Mytilus edulis: one gene and its partners. The protein of the gene in region 4 purifies or fractionates together with the protein of the main gene of each other region. This does not show direct contact. Links are inferred from orthologs where the notes say so. Each region holds a gene or a part of one and is shown on either strand. Other genes may lie near its edges.

Region 1 (7,827 bases), on a different chromosome or scaffold from region 4:
ATGAAATGTCGCATTTTAAGTGTTTTAAATACATTAACTTTTATTTAAGTGGATAATTACTCATCAATTGAGGTGCTCCTGAATTGGAGGAAGATTCTCAAAACAGAATTTTTACAGAAAAAATTAATAAAATCGTTTCTCTCCCCTATCTCATGTAACCCCACGATCTTTGTTTACTTTGAAAGTTGTTCACCTTCAAATTAAAGGATTGCATGTTGATGTTTGAATCATCAACAGCAGACATTATTATGTTTAAATTTAACAAATACCAATTTGTAGTTAGTGCACGATCTCTGAGAATGATTTAAATAACCAGTGAAGGATATCCCTGCTTCTGCGTAGAGTGGCATTCCAAGAATGACGTCACTATAAAATACAATGTAGGTTGGATATATTTAGAATAATTCGTCATACTGATTTTTCCGGATTGTAAAAAGAAACGTAAATAGTGTAAAGGAGAGCTCAAGATACGATAATTTCGTGAGAAACAGAAGGGAAATGTGTAAAAAAGTGTTTAAAGTCAAACTATTCATTTCTGGGTCTCCTTCTCTTCAATCTAAGAAAGATTTGTTGGGGGGTTTCCCATACTATAAAAACAAAATGAATGATGTGAGGGAATGTCACTCTGGTCAACCCCATAGGGGATTGACGGCTTGAAGCCGTCTTTCCCCAAAAACCCTGGCCCATTGTGAGTGGGTTTTTTTTGGCCGTGTATATTTCTAAGAAAATTTGACCCTTAATTTTTCTTGTGATTCAACTGATCTTTGCAATTGTGCTTCTTATTTTATAAAGACTGTTACAAAGTCATGAGGGGTATCTTTTTAGCCAAGTTGTTGAATTAACTGTTCACAATATAGATTACATGTGCTTTTTACTTAAACATACTCAAACAAATGCTTTCTTTAACCCTTCAGTCTGTATCAAAATCTTTTCCAACCACTAGTCTAAAGACAAATATTTAGATATTTTCCTTGTGTGTCTACAGTCTAAACAAAGTCTTGAAAATAAAATGTTACTAGTCATGGGCATTGGACTAGAGGCTAACGGGTCAGGCTGACCCTTCTTATGTTGAAGAAAGCTGTAAGACCTATCAGTGCTACATGAACATCATTTGGTCTCTGGTGGAGAGTTGTCTCATTGATAATCATACCACATCTTCTTATATATATATTTGAAAATACTTCTGCACATTGCCTGAAAGTTCGCTCTCTCCACTATTCCATTTCTTGAAAATAAAAGCAATTCTAATTTATGAAGGTTAAGGTTTAGAGCTTTGTATCAAGGGTCAAAATGCCAAAAAGGATCAACAACAAAAATTTTCATCAAAAAGTTAAAGGCCAAAGTATCAATAAGCTGCTGATATCAAAGGACAAGTGTACACTTGTGTTATAAATACACTATAAAAAACTTCTCAAGTGTGCATTTCAAAATAAAATATTTATAACTTTCAATGTCAATGAATGTAGTGCTTGCAATCAAATAATTTGGATTTTTTTTCTCCATAAGGTGAAAGTACAAAAAAAGTATAAACATCTGAGACACCAAATACATCCATTAGCTATAGCTTTAATAAATTGGGAATGTGTCTGTGGGACACAGATAATGCCCCCTGTTGCATATAATGTTATAAAGGAACATAACTCAAAATCTGTTAAAGTGGCGCTAACCAAATTTGCACTTACATGTAATCTGAGTTTAGTGGAAATAAGCAATTTGTGTATGTTTCATAACACTAATTTGAGGCAAACTAAAGTTTTCCATTTGTAAAGTGGCATTACTCCAGAGTGGTAAAAGTGACACTACCAAAATTCCAATTTGATCTGTGTTTTGTGGTAATTAGCATTGTGTACAAGTTTCATATTATTTGGTTATGGCAAAAATTAAGTTGGAGAATTGAAATCAATTTTGGGACGTACGGACAGACGTACAGACAGACTTAATGTCTCCTCTGCTATGGTGCGGGCATAAAACACCAAAACACCAAAGAATCACAAAATGTTAACCAAATGCATTGATAGTCACTTCAGACATATCTATAAAAACATCAACATTTTTTTTTAAATAAGTTATTTGCCAACATTAACGATTTTTGATTCATCACTTCCCTTTTTGTTTGACCCAAAACTTATCTAGTCATCATGTGGTTGCTAATGAAACTTAGATACCCTTCAAAAGATGCAAAAACAGCTAATTATCAGGTGCTGCATATGAATATTGTAAAATATCAGCTGTTCGACACAATACGAAGGGCTTTTTGATCTTGTTCACTGAACTCACTAGACAAAAAGCTTCATAATCTGACTCACATCTGATATTTTTTCAATATCAACATGCAGACAACCTGATAATCGGTACATACATGTTGATCCAGGATTGTCTACAAAAATGTATGTATGATCCATTTCATATTAGCAGCTCAATAACAAAAGGGGCATAGGCACCCTATCCACCCTAATTCCATCTCTGCTTTTGAATAATTGTTTAATGATGTAAAATTCACCAATTTACATAGGTTTTACCAGTGTAATTAATTCACAAAAAGGAAATAGAAATTAATATATAATAGTACAGTGCTTCTAGGAATTTGAAGGCCCCTTATATCATTTACTGCAACATCTTTCCAACCCCTATTTTATTACTTCCAGATGTTTTCAGAGTTAATTTAATCACAAAATATAACTGTATAATGATTATCAATGTCCAATTAATGATATGATTTACAAAATTGACAGAAAACTTTGTCTGTTTACGGTTTGTTTTGATATCCTCAAAGCTTGGTGATCTAAATGCATAATTAATTAGATGATATTGTTTTGGTCATAAATGTGTATTTGCATTGGAAGCTTTAACATCAATATGTGAAATTTACCTGAACAACAACCATTTTGCGAAATATATTGTCCAAAAATACGTTAAAATGTATCAAAATTCTAAATTTCCATGGAGGCCGCCATTTTGTCTGACGACATACGAATTTCCGCTTTCCATATGAAAAGCATGCTTGCGGATGTTTCGTGTATTTTCATCAATAAAACAACTCAGTGTCAAAATCCCAGGTCAAAGTTCAAAGCAGTTACCACTAGGAATTGTCTTTGAGAAGTGACAACTGCTCACTTACACACCAACACGAAAACAAAATCGAATGAAATTGCGAAAGATGACCTCGATACAGGCGGGTCAAAACCCGTTCATTTCCTCGTTAATCATTTAACCAAAATTATCGACATGTGCAGGTTATGTGCTTCGAATGTAGTGAATACTCTACATCGTATTAATAACAATTATTTGTGCAAAGTTTAGTAAAATATCAGTGAAGTAAATACACACGTGACACGAGGTGTATTACCTCAAAAGACATGGCGTCTTATACACATACTGGCCTATCACGCTTAAAAATATTGAAACTTACTGTTGTCCCTTAACCCTCCAGTTTAAATTTGAAATTACACAAATGTATTCCCTTTAATCTACAAGCCGTATTGGGTGACTACACGAAAACCTAAGGGTTTAGGGAGTCTTGGGGCGAAATACGGCAAGATCTTCACAAGGTTGCAGAACGATCTATCGCCACAGTAGTCACATGGGCCGCATATATCCAACATGGCAACCGCGATGTGGGACGTGTTGATTTTTTTTATTTATTAATTGAAAATAGACATTTTGAGATAAAATTATTCTACATTTAATTTTAAAATTGGTACAGTGGATCAACAAGGATAAACAAGATGCTCAATAAGAACTTGGTGATCGTCCAAGTTATTTTTGATTTGGCGGGAGAGGGGCGGTTCTATCATGACGCAGTGCAGTAAGGAGGCCATGGACGGGTTTACTTTGTAATTAAACTACACTTAATATTAAATGATAAATATATGCAATGATGAAATATATTTTAGAATTTAATTGGTAAATTTTTTATAAATTTTATTTGTGAAAATACATTAGTCGTATCCGAGACAAATTTTCTATAATTTATTTTAAACATTTTTCTGGTCCGAAAAACATGAAATTTTCGAAGAAATATTGTTACAATATGAATTTTGATTACAAAGATAGCAAATTATCAATTCTGTTTGTCTCTTCGGATTTATAAATTCTTTGCAAGGTGATAAATGTGTATTCTTTTAATTTCGGTAATCTAATCCTAATCGGTTACCTTTGGTTGCCTCTAAATCATTTCATTCCCTGTTCCTTTTATGGATTGCCATTAAGAAGGAAACATAATCGAGTTATCTCTCTTTAGACCTTAATATTGCGAATGTAAACGACAAAGTCTTGTACAAATTTTTAAAATGACTTGATCCGTCCCAGAAATGAATATATAATGTTTCTTGTATTTATAACTTTTTATTCACTCCGCTAGTTAAAAACGGTATTTTTGGGTGCATTCGCCCTGTCCACTGACAATGATAACAGGTGCGCGCTCGATCCTTATATAAAAAATGTAAATTTATTGATAAAACTTTGGTCGAAATATGGACATCTAATTATGACTCGGATGCACGAGGAGCGCGGTACCCTTACATCAAATATGGGTACCATTCTTGGTATTTTAAAGAACATCTTTGGGGATTTGGAATTACAAATCTTCTTATTTGTGTATGATATAGATAATTTATGAAATTGGGAGAAGGCTGAAAGTTCAGATCCTATAAGTTAGATATTAGTTTTAAGAACGTCGGACTCATGTGTAAGCATTCTCAGAAAGGAGATCGTTCACTTTAGGTCAATTACGGTCTTAAAATTCAACTTTTATCATAAAATATCAAATGGTCATGATTTGGTTCTTTTGGTCGGGATATAATTCAAAAGCATTAATACAGGGTTCATTTTTTTATATAAATTAGGCCGTTAGTTTCAGTCTCGTTTGAATTGTTTTACATTGTCTTATCGGGGCCTTTTATGGCTGACTATGCGGTATGGGCTTTGCTCATTGTTCAAGGCCGTACGGTGACCTATAGTTGTTAATGTCTGTGTCATTTTGGTCTCTTGTGGACAGTTGTCTCATTGGCAATCATACCACATCTTCTTTTTTTATATTGAACAACGCTCTCTATAAGAATGTATTGTAGGCTTCAAAATCACCACATTGATTTTGAATATTTTGTCAAATTACGATGATTGTGCGAGTATTCGGAGCTTGAATCCGGAAGAAACCATCGACCACAGCATATATGTAGGAACCAAAATGTTCTGTAGCCAAACGGTTGTCCGAATAGTGATATTGATTCCCTAGACACCTAAAATTTCTGGATCTTATGTGGTGGTCAAAGTTGATTATGCTAAAAACTTAAGAATTATTTAAATTTGACAAAAACTGACGTTACAATACAAATAATTGGAATTTTAAGGAGTGATTACATCGTCATTAACTTGTGAAGTGCTAAAAAGAAGTTCTTGTTTAAATAGTAATAATATCTGTCACAACTATGTCTATGTGAGATGCATGTGTAGTAGTTTAGCCTTACTAAAAAACAATGTTAAACCTTTGTGAACTTACTTCTCTTAGGCCATTGGAGAAAAAGCATAATGAGAACTTTAAATTATATTTTGATGGAATGAAATTGAGTGTGGAAATGAAATCACACTTCGCTGTGTGACGACTGACAGGGGCGTAGCTAGAAAGAAACGATGTGGAAGCAACTACCAAGAAAAAATTTTGGGACCCTATGCAGAAATTATTTTTTTTTTCGGTTAAAAATTTATGAATGTAAAACTATTAATAAATCTTCTGAATATAGTAATACATAAACAACACATATTTGTGATACAGAATTTACTCAAAATTGTCCAAAATCTGCTCTTCGGGTCTGGGCAGAAACAAACTTCTCTATTACTTTGTCAACATTCACACTGAAATCCCGTGAATATGCAGTAATGCTATGTAACTTTCGTTGTTCATTGTTGATCGTACATTTGTTTTCAATTACATACGTAGCACCGTGACTGATAGTTCTCAGGGCCATCATGGCATGGTAGCACTCGCGAGATGTTATAAACCAGCGTACGTGTTCGGCATCGAGCGACCTCCCAATTGAATTCGTCAAAATTACATGCTAGGTCAGTTTCGTATGTTTCAGACAATATTGAGATTTGTTCGTTTGTGATATTTCCTACAACACGATGAAGCAGATACAGCACAAAGAAGCGATTTTCTGATAACTTAACGCGACTCCACTCTCCAGTTGCCTTATCATATGTTCTATGAACGCAAAAAATAATGAGACTTTCCAATACTGTTTTGGCGTGGTTGCAGGGTGATTGGCTCCGGTAGTCTGTCAACCACATCGCCTCGGCATATTTTCAACGATATCGAAGGGATCTGATAATTCTAATGCCGATTGGTACATCTCATTCCAAACTGATGAACTGTACACTGTAAAATGTGCTCCAAAACTACAAATCTAAGACTGAGTATTACAAATTCAAAAGTAAAAATCTTGTAAAAGATACAAGTAACCTTCCGATTTTGTCATAATCTCCAAAAAAATTTATTTTGAAACCAAATGTCGTTATTTAATGATATTTCATCAATTAAAAAAAGTGACAACATAGGTGTTTCCTTTAACATTCAATTTATAAATTTTTATTTTGCCATTTCTTTTTTTTGCATGCCGAATCAATGTGCACGCAACTTCGGAGCTACGATCTTTTTCTGAATGAACAGCTTCATCAACACTTGTAACTAGGTTGTCAAACTAATATCCGGGATAGACGGAAAAGACACCAACAGTCTCCGATTCCGATTGACCAACTAATCTCTCTTCTGCTTTTTTTTTCTTTCTTTTTGTGAAAATGACGTGGATGCACGTGCTGTCGTGCCTCCGGGTAGCTACGCCCCTGACTGATTATCACCTAAAATTTATACTCATTTTTTGTTACACTCAATAAAGCGTCAAGACAAATAAATGTAAAAAAACTTATGTTGGAACATTTTATCAAAATTAGAAAGATTATCCTACTAGTATTTGATTTGATATAGTTACTCACTTATATCTGATGGGAATACTGTACTAGTAGGACTATTTTTATTTCAATTGCCAGTGGCGAATTCAAAAGGGGGGGTTCCAGGGACGATCAATGCATTTGAATGGGGATATATATATGGTTGGAACCTCCCCTTTATCATGGATTCGCCCCTGCTTACTCACTGTGTAATGTTTTTTTTTTTTTTTTTTTAACAATTATGCCCCAATTAACTTAATTCCAAAAGCTATACCAAGACGTCAATTTGAAAACCACAAGTAAAGTTAGAGACTATATACTGGCGAAAGACGAAAGGACAAACGAAATGGGAAAAAATACAATTTACACAGAAAACTAATGATCACTAAAGATTTGCGAAAATGAATCTCCCTTCAGCAAGATTTGAACCCACGCTTCTGTGACACTATATGTCCCGCGCCCAAGACTACTCGACCAACTAACTAAATATGGTGACATATAGATGCCTATTTCTACATAGTTAGGTGTGTGATGGGCAGTTGTTTTCTTGGCAACCATAACCCATCTCCAAATTGTTTCTATATTCGTTATACTTTCTGTTTGGCTAGGTTTATTTTTCTTAAAATGTCCCGTACCAATTAAGTCAGGAATATGGCAGTTGTTATTAAATAGTTCGTTTTTATATATGTTGGCGTTTGTTTTTGTTGCACTGCAGGGTAATTGTTGTTCCTTTGTTTCCTCTTATATAGTTGATGTGTTACCATCGGTTTAAGTTTGCAACCCAAATTTGTTTTCACTCAACCGATTTATGACTTTTGAACAGCGGCATATTACTGTAGCCTTCTTTTCTTGTTTGACTTCATTTAAAGGGCTTTCACACTGATA
Region 2 (6,972 bases), on a different chromosome or scaffold from region 4:
AGGGGGGTGGGGAGTCAGTGAAAAAAACTATGTGAATTTAGTTTTTTATCCTACATTGAACTTTTGATGTGGTCCCTAAAGTAATCATTAAACACTTTTTTCTCAACACTTAGACCAAAGATTATTGTATCATTATTCTAGTTCATGTATTGAAGTAAATACCCCTTCCAACAATGAATATCAATAATTTTAATCCCAACATACCAGTTTATATTAAAATACCAGGGGAGCTAAATATAAACCATTGGTGTGACATGGACATACATGAATCAGCAAATCAATATAAAGACAACTGCTTTGTAAAATGGGCAAATTATCAGATGAAAAAATAAATCATTCTTTTAATGTATTTAAGGTTTTGATTTTGCCATATGATCAGGGACTTTCTGTTTTGAATTTTCCTTGAAGTTCAGTATTTTTGTTATTTAAAAAAAAGAAAATATTGAAACTTACATCCATTAGTTTAGAAGCATTTTTTCGTCCACATATAACTTTATCGTGTTTTGTTATGATTTTATTTCCACTGCCAACTGTTCCATTCTTTTTAAATGATGGCGATTTCTTATCTGAAAAATACATAAAATTGAGAATGGAAATGGGGAATGTGTCAAAGAGACAACGACCCGATCATAGAAAAAACAACAGCAGAAGGTCACCAACAGGTCTTCAATGTAACTAGAAATTCCCGCACCTAGAGGCGTCCTTGCATGGTTAAAAAAATAATAGTTGTGAACTGGAAACAAATAAAATAGTTCTTGGGATGATATTGTCCAAAAAATATTATCCTAGGTATCATACTCCATAATCATTTATTAATTCCACTTATAAATGTTATATTTTATTTGTAATATGTTAACATGTATGTGTGAATTAAGAAAAGTTAGAGCTTATAATTACCACTTTCACATTTCCTTGAAATATGTTTTTGACCAAGTAATTGTTGATCAAGATTGATATTTAATTTTCTGGGGGCAAATATTTTCCAGGAAAATCACAAGTTAATGCCACATGAAAACATTCTGCCTTTTATTTGACTGATAGGCCAAGTCAAATTTCAAGCTACTTTTCAAACAGCTTCTGTTAAGTTTGAAATAAGTAACCTTCCATATTCAGATCCTGGTTGGAACACTGAATAAACAGCTCATTGATGTGTAACCATGGTAACAGTATCTGACTATGAGAAGTATTTTGTTTTGAAGCAGCATAATATGTCCAACAGAACTTAACCAAATTTTAGTACAATACATTGTACCATTTAGAATATTGCACTATTGGAAACATATGTTTCAAGCAAATTTTCTAGCTTTTCCTACTTTAGCTGGCCTGTTTAGCTTGTTTTGAATAAATGAGAAAGTCAATCTTAAATCATGGTGGAGTCATCTCCCATTGGCATACCCCATTGTGATTTTGGTGGTTCGTAATCATCATCCTCTTCTTCTTTATCTTCATCATCTCTGTATGCTGGATGTACACTTCTGTAGTTCTCAAATGAGATAGAAACTAAAAATAGAAGATTAAATATGATTTCAGTTAAATTATCTAAGCAGAATTAATAACAAATTATAGGATTTTAAAACAAACATTTGGTCTCTGGTTGAGTAGATTGTTGAGAGTTGTCTTAATGGCCATGTAGGCAATCATACAGTTCATACCACATCTTCTTATTTTTATATAACAAAATAAATCAAAAGCATTGAATATATATTTGAACATCTTTATTAAAAGACTAAGAACTATCGCAGTATGTATGCTTTGTCAGGACTACGAAAAAGTATATTTTCTGCTAAAATATGAGAAAAAATGATTCAGTGAAAAACTCACTCTTGCTATAAAGTTTAGTGATTCAAGGGGATTGAAAGTAATTGAAGGAGAAAGGACTCAAAGGCTAAATGATGAATACATGTAGTTTTCAAACCTTTATGATGTTTATTCAAGAGTTTTTCCTTTGCTACCAATTCCTCATCATTCTGTTTATCGTATTCCAACTGTAACATCCTAGCCATAAGTTCATCGTCAGCAGTTTCATCAGCACCAGCGGCAGCAATTAATGCATCAACATCAACTTCATTTTTCTCACTGAAATTAAAATGATAAGAAATGCAGCTACATGGAATTAAAAATAGACGTCAAGAGTTCAACATACATGCAAAGATTCCATAACTACAATTTAAATATATACATAATATTCTACTGAACACTTTTTTTTCTAATCATGCTTGGGGTATTGAAATTTTATTATTTACTTTATGTCATGAAAGTGGTTCACATTTTTTAAAACAATCATTTAATTAACTGTTAAACATATAATAGTTGTTTCAACTTGAAAATTGTATGGGTTTTTGATATTTTTATTTTACATCCTCATTTGATCATCCGTAGTTGTCCATCTTTGAAAGGCCAAGGGGTAATGGTAAAAAATCAAAAATACCCTTCTAGATGTCATTCATGTACAAAATGATGTAGTTATTCAAAAATAATTAATTTTTAGATAATAAGCAATGATAAGACTTGAAATAGATTAACACCCCCCTTTTTTTAACTTTAGTATATACCTTTCAAAAGTGTCCAACACATTTTTCTGTTCTTTTTCGATAAAATCTTCACTCAACTGTTCATTCATTACATCTTGCAGGCAGCTTGGTATTGGAGTTGATTGCTGCGGAGGTTTGCCCCAGGGTGATGGTTTTGGTACACTGTCAATTTTCGTCTGGTTCATCAAGGCTGCCTGTTCTTCCATGGTCTTGTGAATGGTATTGCTATGTCTGCAACTGAAAACACTAACAGGTCCTTCCATGAAGTTTTTATTTTTTGTATAAGCTATTTCTATATTAGACGAAATGATTATTTGTGTAACTTCCAATGACTGAATGAGTCTGAGATTCTTTCCTTTGTACTGTTGTATTTCCAGTATGTTTTATCGGTTTAACTGGTGTTGCAACACTGCACGTCTGAGCTAGATCTTATATGTTTTAGCTGTTTATTAATAGCAAAATTAAACAACTAATTTATAAATAGATAAATTTCTATATGTTGTGAAATACTTACATAAAATTTCCTTCTTTTTGTTTTTAATTGGTTATTCCCCTTTACGAACTTCCGTTTTGAAACCATAGGTGCGTTTGGATATCCAACTATAATATTTTATGGCAGTAGTTATTTGACCGGCTGCGGGGAAAAAATAATGGCTCCGACAAAATAGCGATTTTTTGTAAGAGTTTTAGAAGTCTCTGAAAATAAGTCTTATTATAAATAAAATTCTGCAAAGAGTAAATATAAAAAGTGATATCTCTATTTCTAATATATAGGCCTACCACTTTGCCGTGTTTAGTATGACTAGAAATTTTCACTTCTGTTTCTCGTACTATAAACAACATCATTATTTATATAGTTAAATATATGTCCGTTCTCTATTTCACATGATACTGTATACCTTACAACAAAACTTTTTTTCTTTTACCTAGGTACATTATTCTATTTGGCGGGAAGCAATTCGGTTATTTGTTCAAGGTTCACTTTCTGATATTAATTATTATCTCACAGTGGTATACTACTGTTGTCTGTATTTATTCACCCTTATTTTATTGATATGGTATTAACATTGTGTCGTAGATCAAATTTATTTGTTCAGTGTATTTTTTTGGATTAGAGCGTCACTGATGAGTCTTTTGTAGACGAAACGCGCGTATGGCGTATATACAAAATTTAGTCCTGGTATCTTTGATGAGTTTATTTTCAGACTGTAGTGGGGAATTTAATAGTAAAGAGTTTGGGCATCTAAAGATTATAATATAAGACATATTACAACAAGCCCATATCATCCCAAAAGCATGCAATGGTTAAGTTGAAAACTTTAATGGGACTCTTAAAACAATCATAAATAAATTGTTTGACAAAGAACCTGAGAAATGGGATTTATTCATAAATGAAGCATTATTTGCCTACAGAGTTGGTATTCATGACAGCACTAAAGTGAGCCCCTTTGAAGCAATGTATGCGAGAAAGCCCATCTTAATAAATGAAAAGAGAATACGGCATACTGTTCAGCCGAATGAAATACAAAATTACATATAAATGTGGCTATAGTGAGAGATAGGGCGGATATCAGTTATCACTGCCCCTAAAAAAGGAATATTGTAAGCATCTGCATAAATATCAACATAAAAAGGATGGTGTGGTATGATTGCCAATACAACAACTATTTAAATGACGTGGATGATTGGAACTATAGACCCCCGTACGACCTTCAACAATGACCAAGCTTCACAACGTATAGTCATCTATGTAAGGCTTTATCATGACGCAATGTGCAAAATTCTAACGAGAAAATTAACGACTGGATTTATATGACATAATAAGTAACGAAAGAAACATAATGTATATATGACAGACAACAACCCACGACAAACGTTGACTCACAGTTTCCTGACTATATAGATTTTGGCGGGTTTAGATAGCCGTGTTTTCAAAATAATAAAAGTGTTTGATTATCGAAGAGACTACTGCTCCATCAACGACTTATGGTCTAATAAAGTTAAATTTGGATATAACACGTCTTTTGATTGTTTGAAAGTTTCAAAATTGTATATCAGCTCATAAACATAGTTTTGGCATGTGACCGTTACGCCATTAACTTTTACCACGGTTTACTCTTTAAAAATCGAAATACATTTAGATTATAAGGAATGGAAGTACTTCCCCCTGTCCATTCGAAATAATCTAATAGATTCTATAATAAAAATAGACTAGCGTGCACACTTTTAAATATAAAGCAACTTGGGTTATTTAGTATACACTAAATTTTTCACGTTATTTCTTCATTGACAAAAACATTTTTACATTACATGCTATTCCTTAATTACAATAGAAATTATAGGATCTCAAAGGAAAACAGTCGGACTTTCATTCCAAAAATTATTCCATTCGGATTAGAGAACTTCGGTGAATCAGGAAGAATGTTACAGGTACCTATGTTTAAGGTTTAATAAATACCAACATTAAACAGCGTATATCTTAAAAATTTTCTACCCTGGGCAAGTTGTATTACATGACCAATCTATATGTATAGTTTATTTACTAGATATTACCGGTCGTTGATTTATTATGATAGAAGTGTTTACGTATGATTTTAAACTATGAGATCCGATATCACATAGAATATTTTTTAGATTTTGTTTATAAAACGTACAAATTTGATATATTTTTTAATTTAAGAAAAAATAGACTTTGAGTATTATTATCAGTATGTATTTATCAACATTGAAATTCAATTAAATTTAAGTAAGAGACGAACATTGCAATACCATACCCACATAGTACCCCTTTCTACAGATTTAAGAAATACACACTAACGTGTAAATCAAAACTAAATTATGGGGAAAGTTTGCATTCATATTTTGATAATTTTAATATGTTTGGTAAATGAACTCAAATGCGAATTTAACGCAACCAAAGCTGGAACAGACATAGAACCAGCTGTTATAATTGAAACGGTAACCAGAGCGCCGTTTTGTGACAAAAATCTTCTTTATAATGACACTGGAATCTTCGATATCGATGTTTTTTACCATACTGAGGATATGTTTGTAAAAAGGTTAGTGTGTTATTTCTTTGAATAGATCTTTAGTCTTAATTCTAACAATTGAATTAAAGAATTGTAGTTTCGACGAAGTCTCATCAACACGCAGTTGTTTTCCTGTAGACTGAACTATATGTACGTGAAATTTAGACTCCAAATTAAGTTTGGGACAATCCTTGACTATCGCGGGAACAGCAATTAGAAATGATCTCTGACTATCGCAGGAAGCAACATTCAGAAATGATCCTTGACTATCGCGGAAACAGCAATCAGTTATTCTTTACTATCGAATAAACAGAAATCATTGACTATCGCAGGCACAGCAATCATCATTCCTTTGACTATCACGGGAACAGCAATCATTAATCATTGACTATCAATGGAACAGCAATCAGCAATCATTGACTATCACAGACACAGCAATCAGCAATACTTTACTATCACTCGAACAGCAATACTTAACTACCACGGAAACATCAATCAGCAATCCTTGACTATCACGGGAACATCAATCAGCAGTCATTGACTATCGCGGGAACAGCAATCAGCAATCATTTAGCGGGAAATTTAATGTTGGTGTTTTGATAAAATACAACATTGTGCTCTCTATTCACACTATTTATCATTGTTTAGATATTAACTTTTAATGAAGGTCATAACAGTATTATTATACTAAGTTTAATACAATTAAGGTACATGTGTTATGTTCTTACATGATGGCATAGAGAGGGTCCTTCATTTCTGTTTTTTCATATTTTAATTTTGTGTAGGTCATTTTTCACTATTATTTATATCTACCCCCCCCCCCCCCCCATAATTCTCTATTCTTTTTTTTTATTCTTTTTATTTGTGGTCTATTTTTCTCTATTCTTTATTTGTTTTACTCTTTATGACCTAAAAGAGGGGCGAAAGATACCAGAGGAACAGTCAAACTCATAGATCGAAAATAAACTGACAACGCCATTGCTAAAAACATGAAAAAAGAAAAAGACAAATAGACACAAAATAGTACACAAGACACGACATAGAAAACTAAAGACTAAGCAAAACGATCCGACCCAAAATACTGGGGGTGATCGGTGCTCCGGAAGATTAAATTAGTGACACAATACATTATCGAATGTGACTTTCTATTCTAGTCAAGCAGGTAAAGAAAAGGATCCAAGGACTATTCGTCTAGGTAAAAATCAAATACTCAAAGCATTAGAGAACGCTATGATTGGGATGTGCCCTGGAGAGTACCGGAAAATAACTGTACCCGCTAACCACGCCTTCGGCAATAAAGTGATTCAGATTCCCGATGGTCAGTAAATTATAAAAGGATTATTTTTCTTCTTCTATATATACATGTAATTGATTACCTTGGCGATTAAGGGAAAGTCAACCTTTTAACTTCA
Region 3 (7,471 bases), on a different chromosome or scaffold from region 4:
TAGCAGAGGCCAGGATTATAAAAATATAAATACTAAACAACAACAAATATAAGCATGATAAAAAGCTTACTGTTTCTAGCCATTATTTCTTTGCATGTTTCTGCTTGCTTTGTTTCATCACCAAAACTGTGATCATTAAACCTTCTCTCTTCTACAGGCACAGCAAAAACCTACAATGAAATTTACATAATATATATTAACTTGCAAATGATAATCAGAAATGGATCTTAATTTAAAACTTTAATGTTTTGTGAATGTTGATTATTGTAACCAAGATGTCAGAAAATTGACAAAGGACAGTTTGACATTTGATTCATCTGACCAACACTTTTCCAAAGATTTTAAAACAATATCTCGCAAAATGTAAAATGAAAACCAATTGGGAGCACAAGTGTAAACAATTAATTAAAAAACCATATTGAACCTTGCAAGGGAACGAGCTTGTGAGCATGTTACTAGGTGACAGCAGACTATGAAATGGTTGTATTGTAGACATTAAATGATTGATTCTTAGGAATGTCATTTAAAATGTATTTTACTACACAATAACTTAATTTGTATTAATGAATCATAACCAACACATACTTGTGTGCATGTAGATGATCTCATGAGAAATTTGTTATTGGCTGGCCAAGGTCTAGTAGGTTCTGTCACTGGCGCATCAGTAGCTGGTCTGGGTGCTGGCACTGGCAACTCTGGGAAGGCGTCACTGTATGTTGGTGGACTTGTTGGTGCATTGGGCACATATGCCACTTCTTCAATATGTGGAACCTCCATATTTGTAGCCATATTCAAACTCGTTTGTCAAATGGGAGTTCCAAGTCGAACAGTACTAGCTGAATGCCTAAAAGATTGATATATAAAAGATACTTTTTTTTTTGCACTGCACATATAATTTAACGAAAAACCAACATTTTGAAATGATAACTGATGAAGTCATAGCTTAAACCAGGTTTCACACTTCTTCAGAATCATAGGGAGAAGTTTCTATCTTCTGGGTTTTTTTAAATGATAGGAAGAAGTGGCAAGATTTAATATTATTTATTTATTAATTTGTTTTAATGATTGATTACAGATGTATATGTCCTTTTTATAGCATTAAACTAGTATGTTTTAAATGAATCCATTTTATAGAAATTGCCTGTTTATATTAAGTAAGTGCCCTTAAATTGTTGTCCATCGCGCTTAATGTGCCCTCTGAGCTAACAATTACCCTGCCCTTTTTAAAAGCTGCAGGAAACACTAAATAAAGGAAGCGCTTGTTTTCTAGTGACCCTATTGTACAATGTATTTATTTATTTTTTTAAATATGAAGACCAAATACATTTTTTTTTTATGTTGTTCAAATTTTTCATTACACTCAAAAATGCAACCAAAAAGTAAAATCACAAAAATACTGAACTTAGAGGAAAATCTACAATGTAATTGGAAAGTCCATTATCACATGGCAAAATCAAATAACAAAACACATCAAAAACAAATGGACAAGAACTGTCATATTCCTGACTTGGTACAGGCATATTCAAATGTAGAAAATGGTGGATTAAACCTGGTTTTATAGCGCTAACCCTCTCACTTTGATGACAGTCTCATCAAATTCCATTATATTTACATGGATGTGTGAACTAAGCAGACATTATAAATAAAATAGTCAAAATATGGGTACAGCAGTCATCATCGTGTAGCAACTTTTAAAAGGAACAATTCAACAGAACACAAAAACATCTATCTACAAACGCATTCATTGATTCGCGTGTCTGACGTCAGAAACTTTTTAAACGTCACATATATTTGTCGTTCACTATACATACAAACAGAAACAGAACAATGTAACAGTTGTCTCAGTTTATCACTCATTTAAACATGTATGTAAATGAAGTTAGAAATTATATTTTTTTTCACTTGTGAGAAACTGCCAACTTAATATCTTTCAATATCAACAATGATTAAAGAAATGTGTTTGTAAATCAAAAAGGAAAAAAATACAATTTCTCAAAAAAAATTGAAAGAAAAATGACATTGTTTATTACTCTAAAAAGATATGTAAATTAAACAGCTTAAATTAATAAAATGAAACAAGCCATTTACAATTTTTGAAATGAGATACAACTTAACGTCTGTTAAAGTGATAGGGATCATTACATTTCTGTCAGCTGATCCATTTGTGCATTTGTAGTTGTCAAAAGAAAAATTTACATTTTGAAATGTTTTATAGCCTATAGGAATTAAACAGGACTTTTCTCAATACCGCAAAAATTAAAATTGCATTCTAGTCTAAAATTACAACAATAAATGCACACAATAATTTCTGATTTTACAGTACAAATTTATGAGTCTTTGAGTGTTATGAATCATTTACAGGGTAAATGAACAAATATGAGCCTCTATATTTAGACATTAACATGTAAATAACTATCCACTTGCTGGTATTTGTAATTGAAAACTGATGGTAAGGGATAATAAGTATTACCGTATTATCAAAGAATTTGCTAAACAAACAACAATTCTGTCAACGATGGAATATGTCTGTTGAGGGCAAGGCAAGGGTGAGTAAATAGTACACAACAGGTCAAATGTGCATAAATTATGTCAGCGTGCAATATTGCACATTACTACAATAAGCATACATCAGGCATTCAGAATTATGTAAATTAAACAAATTTTATCAAGGAAAACAGACAAAATGTCAAAAATTAGGCAGCCACGTCGACAGGTCCGAAGGAACATGTTGACGTGTCGGGGGTCTGGCCATTATTTACTAACTTACTTAAGTACTGCGTCCAAAAATCCGTCCTAAATTGGTTTTTTCTTCTTTTTAGGCTCCAATGTGGAAGCTGAAAGTCTACAAAAGATTTAATGTTGTGTATATTTTGATAAACAAATGATAAATTTGACAGAAATTTGACAAATATGGACTAACACTCACCACCTCCAAAAGGAACTAACTACACTGTGTAGTTCGTGCACCTTGATATCATTGCGCGATTGATTGTTTTGAGTAAGCAATATTCTGATTGGTCATCTCCGGGTTAAAGTTGAAAAAAAGAACCATTGTAACACCACATAACATGTGTAGGCGAATACGCACTATTTTGGAACAAATTTTTTTCTTAGCTTAAACAATTGTTCAACATTATAAGCCAAAATGCACATGCAAACATCATACAATCTTTTCTTGAAATCCAAATCGCAATAAACTATGATATTATCTATTATTTCAATGTCACGTGGCAAACCTGTGACGCTTTTCTTGACGTCAAAAGGTCACATAATTAACACTGGGCTCCAAGGGGTTGCCAGTAAGTTGTAAATAAGGCTCAAAAAGGAGGGGCGCCGCATTGAAGATCCCAAATTTCCATAAAGATGAAAAATATCAGAAGATAATATCACACATGATTATAATGTCCAAAGGTGATGGATTATCTTTTGACTGAAAAGTAAATATAAACCGAATTTTATAACGATCTATAAAAGACGAACCTTCAGTGACAAAGACAAAAGAGACCCCCCCCCAAAAAAAAAATAAATAAAAATTAAAAAATAAAATAGATAAGAATATAAACAACAAAAAAGAATAGGAAATACGATCATGATGATCGGGCCAAAATAGAAAAAATAAAAGGCAAACTTGAACAATAAAGAGGGCCTGGAATATGATGCGGGTTCATTTGGGAGGGGGGATAGGACCTTTATCGGGTGTTTTTAATCTCGGGATTTCGGGATTGACCCTTTCGGGATCCGGGAATCGTTTTTTTCGGATTTCGGGACATCGGGATTTACTTTATTTAAATTCGGGACCTCGGGAATTCGTTTTTTTAAGTCCGGGATTTCGGGATCAGGACCCCTCCTAACCCCTCTCATTTGGGTTTCTTGGCCCAGGAGGATTTTCAATTAATCTCATGGTTTTATGTGCTCTTTATTATTATTTTTGTCGTTTATTCTCTTTTCATTACTTTCCGGCTATTTTTTGGTTCCATATTTTGTTTATTGATTTTTTTATAAGTTAAGCTAACATAAGAGAAGACAGTTTTTATTTCAATCTCAAAAAGGTCCCTATTTTTAGGCCAATCCGAGAAATCAGTTTATACTTTTATTAATTGATGTGTATACAACCATGATAATAACATGCTTGCTCCAAACAGTAGATTTTCCATTGTTGACCAATGTTTTATCGAATTTGGTTCATAATTATATAAAATATGTTTCATTATTCATACCAAAGACATATAAATTTTATTATGCAAATGTGTAGATATGTGTCCGTTCTCACTCAAAAAACGACAAATTTGCGATTTAAAAACGCATTTATCATTTCTCTACAGCATGAATATAGAGTATTGCCCCGGGGTTTGTTATTTGAATGGATACATTGAAACGGTATCGATATCTATCTATACTAGATCGAAACAATTATCACTGTGTGTTCATGCTAGGCGAGAAAATACATCGGGAATAAAGTCAAAACTAAGATTGTTCGAGCGCTGTATAGTATAGTGACTCAATATGTTTAGCATGTATATATAGTGCGATGAACGAGCTTTTTACTGTTTAGATTTGCTTGCTATTATTGCTTATTTCTTACACAAGCATGTATTACTCAATTTTAAAGAGTATATGAGAAACAATTAACAGACACGACTTCGCTTCACTTTTAGACTAACCGGCGGTTTTTTTCTAAAGTTAACATTGATTGGTTAAATATTTCGCAGTCATGTCCTGCGTTTGAATTTGTTTGTTAGCTTTTTGGTCATGAATGTTTGTCTCTAATATTTAATTAACTGTGCATTTGTATTCAGATATCACAGATCAAATTTATTCGTTCATTGTTTAATCATACGTTTTTTGATTGAGTTAAGTCTGCCAATTGATATTTTATCGTATGTTTTTCTTTGTTGTGATGTTATGCTATTGTTTCAGAAAAAGGGAGAAGGTTTGGATCCATTAAAACGTTTAATCCCGCTGCAAATGTTTGCACCTGTCCTAAGTCAGGAATCTGATGTACAGTAGTTGTCGTTTGTTTATGTAATATATACGTGTTTCTCGTTTCTCGTTTTGTTTATATAGATTGGACCGTTGGTTTTCCCGTTTGAATGGTTTTACACTAGTAATTTTGGGGCCCTTTATAGCTTGTTGTTCGGTGTGAGCCAAAGCTCCGTGTTGAAGGCCGTACTTTAACCTATAATGGTTTACTTTTTAAATTGTTATTTGTATGGAGAGTTGTCTCATTGGCACTCACACCACATCTTCCTATATCTATTTTTATACATTAAATTTGACATAAGCGGTCATCTTAGTACCAGAATCTATGACAATTTCAGATTTGAATTATCAGTTTTCTCTACCTTGGTGATAATATACCAACTTCACATGCATAAGGAATATACATTTCCCATCTCACTCATAATAATATACCAACTTCACATGCATAAGGAATATACATTTCCCATCTCACTCATAATAATATACCAACTTCACATGCATATGGAATATACATTTCCATCTCACTCATAATAATATACCAACTTCACATGCATATGGAATATACATTTCCCATCTCACTCGTAATAATATACCAACTTCACATGCATATGGAATATACATTTCCAATCTCACTCATAATAATATACCAACTTCACATGCATATGGAATATACATTTCCCATCTCACTCATAATAATATACCAACTTCACATGCATATGGAATATACATTTCCCATCTCACTCATAATAATATACCAACTTCACATGCATATGGAATATACATTTCCCATCTCACTCATAATAATATACCAACTTCACATGCATATGGAATATACATTTCCCATCTCACTCATTATTCAAGAGCTTGCAATGCTACGTAGACTACCAGTGTCTGAGTAGAAAGTTAATGTGCCAGGGTTATGTCAAAAAAGTCGCACGAGACGTCCTAGTTCTAAAAAACTTAATAGGAATATTAAACCAAGACCTATAGTAATTATGAACAGTTCGTATACATCAACTTTACATGATGGTCTTTGATATAGATATAGGAAGATCAGTAGTATGAGTGCCAATGGGACAACTCTCCATCAAAGTCACAATTTATAAAAGTAAACCATTAGAGGTCAAGGTACGGTCTTCAACACGGAGTCTAGGCTCACGCCGAACAGCAAGGTATAAAGGGCCCCAAAAAATTACTAGTGTAAAACCATTCAAACGGGAAAACCAACGGTCTTTTCTATATATATATAAACGAGAAACGAGAAACACTTATGAACCACATAAAAAGACGACAACCACTGAACATCAGATTCCTGACTTATGACATGCAGGTGCAAAACATTGCAGCGGGATTAAACGTTTAAATGGTACCAAACCTTCTCCCTTTTCTGAAACAGTAGTATAACATCACAATATAGAAAGACACACTAAAAAATATCAATGGAATGCCTTAACTCAATCAAAAAAACGAAGTCACGGACACAAATAAACACACAATGGACGAATAAATTTGAGTATAGATTCTAGGTATACTGAAGTTGTTTATCATCTACATTATATGTTATAGGTGTTTTTTTTTATTTGCCTTTGAAAATTATTAACCTTAATTGTTTACTATATATATGTGTGCTGATATGTCCTATTGGTGTGACTCGTACTAATGCATCCCGCCAATACGTGTTGTGCTGTGGTCATTTTTGTGTCTTTCATTTTTGCTTATGTGCATTGTCTATATGCCATTTTGTTTTTTTCATATTGAAAAATTCTTTACTTTTATCCGAGACTTCTATAACACATGTGCAGTTTTGGATACAAAAGGGGGGGGGGGGGTGTTCCTGGGGTTGGAACCCTTTTTTTTGGACGATCAATACATTTGAATGGGGACATATGGTTGGAACCCCCCTTCATCATGGGTTGGTACCGCCTGTTAAATGGTTGGATTCGACCCTTCAGGTGTGTGTTATAGTTGTCTCATGTTTTTAAAGTGATTAAGATATATATATAGAAGCACGATGTTGACTGTACGCCTATTTTGACATTTTAACATAATATGTATGTGTGTTTTGTTCACACTTTATTGTCAATATAATGAATTTTTCTGCGACTGTCATCCAAGTAAGAGGTTTAGCTAGCTATAAAACCAGGTTTAAAAAAATGCCTGTACCAAGTCGGGACTAATTCAGAATTTGTATTCATGCCTATAAAAGCTTCCGGTCAAATAGAGCGGGTTGTCCCATCAAGTGTTCGACTTCGACCATTCAGGATACTTTTAACAATCGTAAAACCAGAACTTTTTTTTTTTATTTCTTAGCCTAAATTTTCATTATTTTAAAGAAAAATATCGATCTATTGAACAGTGGAAGTACGAGAAGACTCATCCAACCGGTTAACGATTTTTCCTAATGATTTTAATGCTAAATTGAAATCATTTAAAGCGGGAAGGTTGGGTGTACAGCGGTATTTTTTTTCTCCAAAATTCGAGAAACTTTTTT
Region 4 (7,981 bases):
TGTGTGTTTTATTTCACTGGAAAATCAAGGTAAATATTCTTTCATTATCTATTCTACTTACCTCCATGACAAGCTGATGTGCTCTGGATACCAGAGTTAAATTGTTACTATGATTAAATGTCTCCGATATATCATGACCAAATGTGTAACCAGCACCTCGAGGAGATATACCCCAGCCTCCTCTATCATCTGGATCTGACCATAGCAAATCACACATGGGACCCTATAAATACATTGGAAAAATGTCATATTGTTATTACAAATCTTTAAAACCTAACCCCTACATGATGTTAAGTAGCTATGTACAGTGAATTTTGCCTGTAAAAAATCCTCTTATAAGTATTAATTAGTTCAATAATTATAATCTGATACAAGAGTTTCAGAGTAGACTGGTTTCCTGTTTATCATGGTTTACAAGAGTCCACTTATCAAAGACATTTTCTGTGTAAAATGTATTTTTGAAATTTGTTGAGATCTTTAAGCTAATGGGTTCAGCAATGGGAAAAATACTGGAATGATGGTCCTATTCAGAAGGAGTATTTCTAATTAGAAAGAACATTGGCTTTTAAATTGGATTCCATGGTACATGTATACTGTAAACAAGCCATTATTTTTTTTTACATTATCAGACATACAATGAATTTTAATACAAGACTTGGAGGAATGTATTTTATATTCTTAATAAGGAATTGCCAATCTAATTACATATTAATCTAGTTACATTGGACATGGCACTTTATATTCTAATCAATCTGTGATATGGCAAAATAAAATAAGATACAAGTTTAAATGTATCAAGCATGCTTACCTCGTGTGGAACTTCTTGTAATCTATCTAATGCTCGTATATGATCTAATGTGTCTATTGAAGGTGATAACCCACCATGTAAACAGAATATCTGAAAGATAAAAGTATTCAGTATTATCTTCTTGTCAATAGGTACTTATTTCAAAGTATTTTTTCCATTTTCCATCCTTTTTTTAAGAACTGTCAAATTGAACTATTAAAAATTATAGATTCACTAACAAAGTCAAATTCCTACTAATCAATTTTCCAACAAAACATATCTGAACTCGATTCTGTATCTGCATCACCTACTTGCATATCTATTCTGCATCACCTACATGCATATCTATTGTTTAAACATAATGACCTCTGGATGTCTTGTTTTGTAACCATTGGGTTGCTGTCTTATTCATGTCTACTCCCATATTCTTTTTATTCATATGATAATTGATCTACTGTTGCAATGAATCTCATTTAATACAAAAATATGTTTTTCAAACAATTGAAACTTTTCCGCAATCACATACACTTTGCCATTTTACAGAATTATTGTAGACTGTACTGTAAATTCAGAAATCATTCCAATGTTTTTATTTTTGCCAAAAATGTGACAGGGACCTGGGTTATAATGTCAATAATTTTAACTTGCATTCTTAATTTTTTTATAGGAATTACACAGAATTGCTCAATATCACAAAAATGTAAATCACATTTTGGTCTAAAATAACAAAATCGCAATACTTTCTGAATTTACAGTACATGTATACTACATGTATTTCTACACAAGAAGTGGAAGGCTCTAAACTTACTTGTCCATCTACTAAAGCTGTAAGTGGTAAATAGTCAAATAAATCTGTGAAATATTTCCATACTGTAGCGTTACCATACTTTCTCAAGCACTCATCGTAAAAGCCATATACTTGTGTAATTTGTCTACTTTCATGATTTCCTCTTAGAATTGTAATTCTGTCTTTCCATCGAACCTTTAACAAAATCATATCTCATGTTTAAAAAAAATGAGGCAAAAATATGTGTTAGTTGTGTAGTTTGAATACTTTCTTTACTCTTTATATTCAAATTACTACTTCTTGACTTAAATCATAGAAACTTGATAAATGTGAACCTGTCACTTTATTTAATTTCTACAATTAACTATACCATGTATACTGGCTATCAGTAAGGATTAATTGGATAATTTTTAGTGAAAGTCTCATAAATTGCAAAGCACATGGAGTAGACATTGCTTTTTAAATCATAGAGGATGCAAGTTTTATGAATGAAAGATAATCAAATAAATATTTTCCAACTGTTCATTTTGAATCAAGCTGCACTTTTTAATTGTTGCTTTTAACATTAGCCAAAATGTAGTTTTGTTTAGGCCACAATTAAAAATATTTTGGTTTGCCCAAACCCTACCCAAAGGTTGAGACAGTGGGTAGGTAGGTAGGCATTTTCTTTTTTTTTTTCAAAAAGAGAAATTGAAGTATCGGGTGTTTATTAGTCTTTATGCCTATCTGATAAAAAAAAAAACTTCTTCAAATTAGGACAATAAAAGAATTTGAGTAGGCAACTTTTTTCTGGGTAGGTAGCGTTTGGGCAAACAAATCTATTCTTTTTTATGGCCTTAACAAAGACAAAATGTGTAAATAAATGTACTATACATACTTTCAAAGCTACTAAAAGTGTTACTGTTTCTACTGAGTAATATCCTCTGTCTACATAGTCTCCCATGAACAAGTAGTTAGTGTCTGGTGATTTTCCACCAATTCTGAACAATTCCATCAAGTCATGGAACTGGCCATGGACATCCCCGCACACAGTAACTGGACATTTAACTTCCTGAACATTTGATTCCTTGGACAATATTTCTTTAGCCTGAAAAAAATTAATTGTTTATTAGTATTAAATAAATTAAAGAGTGCCTCAAAATGCATTTTTATTTAAAATTCACATTATAAGCCTCATTTGTTTCAGGTTAAAGAAGTCCCAGCATTTAATATAAATGCATGTCAATAGCCAGAAAATAAGAACTGAACAGTGAATATCATAATCAAACAATTAATCATACATTAGGAGAATAAATACAAGTCCTACAAAACTGAGGTGTTGTATATACATGATATAGCTCATCAGTTCAATTATAAGACCAAACAAAATAAAATAGTGTATGTATATTAACTGTCACCTGCTTAAAACAGGGACTTATGCAAGAGATCAAATTACAATTAACTACATGTATTATATATTTTCTGTTAGCTGCCATTTGCTGAAGTTGTTTCTGATATATGTTTTAACATGGTTTTACACAACATTTATTGATGATTTTTGGTTGCAAACAAGAATGTGTCCAAAGTACACGAATGCCCCACTCGCATTATCATTTTCTATGTTCAATGGACCGTGAAATCGGGTAAAAAATCTAATTTGGCCTTAGAAGTAAATTGATCAACCAAAAGGGAACATGTGTACTAAGTTTCAAGTTGATTGGACTTTAATTTCATTGAAAACTACCTTGACCAAAAACTTTAACCTGAAACTCACACTTTTAATTTCTATGTTCAGTGGACCATGAAAATGGAGTCAAAAGATTAATTTTTTTTTTTTAAATAAGAAAGATCATATCATAAGGAACATGTGTACAAAGTTTCAAGTTGATTACACTTTAGCTTCTTCAAAAACTACCTTGACCAAAAACTTTAACCTGAAATGGGACAGACGGACGAACAGACGGAAGGACGCACAGACCAGAAAAAATAATGCCCCTCTACTATCGTAGGTGGGGCATAAAAAAGAACATATATAGCTGTCAAGAATAATACTTCTGAAAATATTTTCATTACTACATCTTCTTTACTATTCATGCTATTTGGCATAATTTCCAAGCTTAAAAGTTATCCAAAGCTAGAATGAACATTTTCTGTGTGTGACAACACACAACTGAACACTACCTTATAAGAAGAGTTAATAAGCCTGATCAGTGCTACATAAATGCTCCATCAACTTTTATCTTTGAAGCCTGCAGCAGGATTATGTTTTCAGATGTCAACAACCTAGAACATCCTTCGCTGCCCTTTTGACATATCTTTAAATGAAATTCTTGTGCGTTTGATTTAAAAACTGAAAACTTAGATTTTAAATTGGGGAAAGGAGGTTAGTGTTTGTGTTTAAGTTTCTTTAATCAAATACACTGCTTGAGGTATTTACAATTAGTTACATCTATAATACCAATGATTCATTCTCAAAGCTGGGGATAAAACATGTAAAAATATCCTTGAATTTCATTTAATGTGATGAACACAACATTTTAGTTCAATTGGTCCATCTTACTGTAACTTGTGTAAGTCAAATAGTGTATTTAACAAGACTTGAGGTATACTTCTTGTGCTACCAGAGTTATCAATAAATGGTTTGTGGCATGTTGACTAAAACACATTCAGGATGCTGGATTGAAACCTTTGAAAACCTTTTAACTGTGCTAGGCTGTTTTATGAAATGTGATTAGATACGATATCAGTACACCTGAGCAAAGAAAACTTTGGTTGCCATATACAATTTTACGAAAAATTGGTTTCGTAAAAATGTGTTGCCATGCGAGTTTGATGCAACAGTTATACAGTCATTTATAGGCCGACACATGCTTTATGCAGTTATGACATTAAAGTCACTATGTCTGTAAGTATTTTTAAAGGGAAAACAGTTGATGAAAGTGTATATACCTTTTCACACAATGTTTTGACTTGATTTTCGGTCAGTTGTTTGCAATCATAAAGTTGTTCAATCCATGTATCGAGTTCTTTTGCTGTTGCATGATCGTCAACGTAACTCATTTTGAAAAGATATGTTTACATGTATTAAACTTGACAAATGTATACAAAAATGCGTTATTTATCTCTTATTTGGTGTTATTTTCAAGTCTCAGCACATCGAGGCGCCGACAAAATGGCTGTGTCTTCCTTCTCGAGTGACGTCACTTTCATAAATAATTGTTAACGAATGAAAATTTTTATTTATATAAGATAAATAAAAATGACGAATTACTAAATTAAGAACTAATCGTGATGTTAATCATTATTTATCTTAAATGATTCAAAATTTTAATGCAAATATAAACTGGATTCTGAGTCACTCTGCTGGTGTCCTTATTCCGTTTGGTGACATCTATCGGAATTTTTCTAAACCAAGCGAGTTAACTACAGACTTCCTTTTCCGGTTTGCCCGTCTTAGTTCATGGCGAACTAAATAAGTTATATCGAATCTGCGCCAATCATAGTTGAATTTTCATTAAAAACAAGAAAACGATGGCGGAGCAAATGACGCTTAGAGGGACCCTCCAAGGGCATGGAGGATGGGTGACACAGATTGCCACAACTCCCCAATATCCTGATATGGTGTTGTCATCTTCTCGGGGTAAAATATTCTGAATAGATCTCATTTTTTGTATAACCTGCATGTTTTGCACATATTATCAATGTATTCGATCTTCAAGACGATGCACATACTCTATCTTTTTATTGCAACGTTGTCTTTTTTGTCATACTGTGTAAATTTGTTTACATGTACATTTTTCATCTTCAATGTTGAAATGCCGGTAGACCTATTGGCAGAAGATCGAATTAAAAGCCGCAGTTTGGAGAGAATATCATTTCTGATTGCAATCTGCATTTAAGTAAAGTTCGTAGGCGCTTTTTCTCAAGTGGAACATTCGAAAATACAGGGACTGAGCATGAACATGTACAGTCATGACAGTATGGTATATTCATCAATGGGCTGATGGATCATAGTATAATGTAGATGTACAATTGTTCCCTAGAACGGAATCTGTGACATATGATCAATTCATACAGAACATGTAAATATACCAGCTGTCTGCACCAAAATCGTTATTTATCACTAGTTCAAGAATATTAGAAAAAAATGTATGTGTCGTAACAATGTTTTGCAAACATGTACTACTCTGGTGCAAATATAGTCCTAATAATTGTGACGTCTTGAAATTTTATTTATTGAAGACATGTTTTTTGGTAAGACTGTGTGATGGAATTTCTCTCAAACTTTAGACCCAAGTTAACAATAAAACGCTTCTACAGTGGTGTCTGCATGGCCAGTGATACTGTGCATTATCTGATTTCGTCATATCAACAAAGTAACACAAATAAAATCGTTCTTGTTATTGTTTTAGCCTTCAGAAGGGATTAAAAAAAAAATTATAAGTTCAAGAGGTTAATAACTGCAAACCCGTGATTTACAATATTTGACTAATTTCCATTAAAAAAAATTACATCATCAGATAAAATTTGTTTTATTTAAGTCAAAATTTTATTAGTTTGAAATAATTTTTGCTCTGCATCCTTGGAAGTGTGTTTGGTTCAAATTCAGCTATATTTTGGAGTAGAAAGTCTTTCCTTTATTCAAAATAACATATTTTTGGAAGGCATGTGCGAAATCCCCAGACATTGGAGGAAATCTCAGAACAGGGGTTTCCCTAATTTTGGACACGCATTACACAAAATCTTGGGTGAAACCATACAAACAGAAGATTTTATAAAATAAAAGTATGTTATGAATGTGTTCACCCAATATTATCCATTTATTGGTTTTATCAGTTGAATGAAATGAAGTCATAAGTCTTAGGTGCATGGATACACCGGACTGCGCCGTAAGCTAATTTCCCTATGTATATAATTAGAAGAGTACTATAAAATATTTATTTGCACCAAACTCAGAATAATATATGACGCACAATCTTTTCGGGATGTTTGATTTATATTTAAATTCATGTCCATCAAAATTTAGAGTTTGGAAAACAAATATATTATTTTATACTCCTAAAATGAATTTCAAAGTGTCTATATAGAAGAAATCAGTAAAACGTTTTTAAAAGTCTTACTAAAAAAAATAAGTTGGGCATATATGACATCCCATGCCAGAAAGGCTACAAAGCAAAAAATAAAATATATTTCAAGACATCATAATTATTTTGACTAATGGTGAAGACTGCACTACAGGTATAAAGTGTCAATATAAACAATTTTGTAATAAAAAGGAAAAGTATTGAAATTAGTTTATAATTAATTAGGTCAGTATGTCTGATTATTTTTTATGCCCCACCTACGATAGTAGAGGGGCATTATGTTTTCTGATCTGTGCGTCCGTTCGTCTGTCTGTTCGTTCGTTCGTCCGTCTGTCCCGCTTCAGGTTAAAGTTTTTGGTCAAGGTAGTTTTTGATGAAGTTGAAGTCCAATCAACTTGAAACTTAGTATACATGTGCCCTATGATATGATCTTTCTAATTTAAATGCCCAATTATAGTTTTGGCCCCAATTTTACGGTTCACTGAACATAGAAAATGATAGTGCAAATTTCAGGTTAAAGTTTTTGGTCAAGGTAGTTTTTGATGAAGTTGAAGTCCAATCGTTAAAGTTTTTGGTCAAGGTAGTTTTTGATGAAGTTGAAGTCCAATAGTTGAAGTCCAATCAACTTGAAACTTAGTATACATGTGCCCTATGATATGATCTTTCTAATTTAAATGCCAAATTATAGTTTTGACCCCAATTTTATGGTTCACTGAACATAGAAAATGATAGTGCAAATTTCAGGTTAAAGTTTTTGGTCAAGGTAGTTTTTGATAAAGTAGAAGTCCACAATCAACTTGAAACTTAGTATACATGTTCCCTTTGATTAGATCATTCTAATTTTAATGCCAAATTAGAGAATTTATTCCAATTTCACGGTCCACTAAGGCCAAAAAAAAAAGATATGTGTTTCCGGTAACATCATTTTAAAAAATAGGGTAGGTAGGTCGGAATTCTTTTTTTTTTTCTTTTTTTTTTTTTTTTTGACATCGTAAATGAAATCCGGAAAATTATCATGTTTTTTTCCAAGTTCGGATCCGTAATTAGTTTCAAAAACCGGAAGTGTGCCATTTGCAATGTTTTTGAAGCACCTGCTGTGCAAATTTCTTGGATTTTAACCTATTTGGAATACCTTTTGACATTAATAAAATGTTTTACTGGCTTTCTATGACTGGCTTTCTATGCAAGAGGAAGCAAGAGAGAAAAAATATTATGTCATCTATCAGAAGCCTGTGTCAAAAACAGGGTCGGTTGATAAATTTTTTTTTTTTTTTTTGGAAGATCCAATAAAAAAGTTAGGGTCGGGGCTAAAAAACAGGGTCGGTCGGGTTACCGGAAACACTG

Evidence for each region.
Region 1: the proteins of small ribosomal subunit protein RACK1 (region 4) and la-related protein 4-like purify together in Homo sapiens (affinity purification with mass spectrometry; 3 studies listed by BioGRID and IntAct, counting the BioPlex papers as one, with this or other methods). This does not show direct contact. The link is inferred for Mytilus edulis from reciprocal best matches to the Homo sapiens genes RACK1 and LARP4.
Region 2: the proteins of small ribosomal subunit protein RACK1 (region 4) and serine/threonine-protein kinase RIO3-like purify together in Homo sapiens (affinity purification with mass spectrometry; 3 studies listed by BioGRID and IntAct, counting the BioPlex papers as one, with this or other methods). This does not show direct contact. The link is inferred for Mytilus edulis from reciprocal best matches to the Homo sapiens genes RACK1 and RIOK3.
Region 3: the proteins of small ribosomal subunit protein RACK1 (region 4) and vigilin-like purify together in Homo sapiens (affinity purification with mass spectrometry; 3 studies listed by BioGRID and IntAct, with this or other methods). This does not show direct contact. The link is inferred for Mytilus edulis from reciprocal best matches to the Homo sapiens genes RACK1 and HDLBP.

What each region holds. Positions count from the first base shown.
Region 1 is NC_092357.1:54,891,924-54,899,750, reverse strand, and holds the start of la-related protein 4-like, read right to left. Parts: upstream 3,023-7,827; 5' UTR 2,885-3,022; coding exon 2,870-2,884; intron 1-2,869. UniProt on the Homo sapiens protein: RNA binding protein that binds to the poly-A tract of mRNA molecules. Associates with the 40S ribosomal subunit and with polysomes. Plays a role in the regulation of mRNA translation.
Region 2 is NC_092355.1:39,763,117-39,770,088, forward strand, and holds the start of serine/threonine-protein kinase RIO3-like, read right to left. Parts: upstream 3,013-6,972; 5' UTR 2,795-3,012; coding exon 2,553-2,794; intron 2,077-2,552; coding exon 1,916-2,076; intron 1,501-1,915; coding exon 1,396-1,500; intron 567-1,395; coding exon 454-566; intron 1-453. Other genes in the region: peptidyl-prolyl cis-trans isomerase FKBP7-like, read left to right, coding at 5,577-5,590, 6,715-6,878.
Region 3 is NC_092356.1:71,817,815-71,825,285, forward strand, and holds the start of vigilin-like, read right to left. Parts: upstream 3,008-7,471; 5' UTR 2,927-3,007; intron 2,843-2,926; 5' UTR 2,768-2,842; intron 845-2,767; 5' UTR 790-844; coding exon 586-789; intron 171-585; coding exon 71-170; intron 1-70. UniProt on the Homo sapiens protein: Appears to play a role in cell sterol metabolism. It may function to protect cells from over-accumulation of cholesterol.
Region 4 is NC_092352.1:55,731,905-55,739,885, reverse strand, and holds the start of small ribosomal subunit protein RACK1, read left to right. Parts: upstream 1-4,965; 5' UTR 4,966-5,084; coding exon 5,085-5,193; intron 5,194-7,981. Other genes in the region: serine/threonine-protein phosphatase 2A catalytic subunit beta isoform, read right to left, coding at 62-223, 809-898, 1,596-1,769, 2,452-2,661, 4,503-4,613. UniProt on the Homo sapiens protein: Scaffolding protein involved in the recruitment, assembly and/or regulation of a variety of signaling molecules. Interacts with a wide variety of proteins and plays a role in many cellular processes.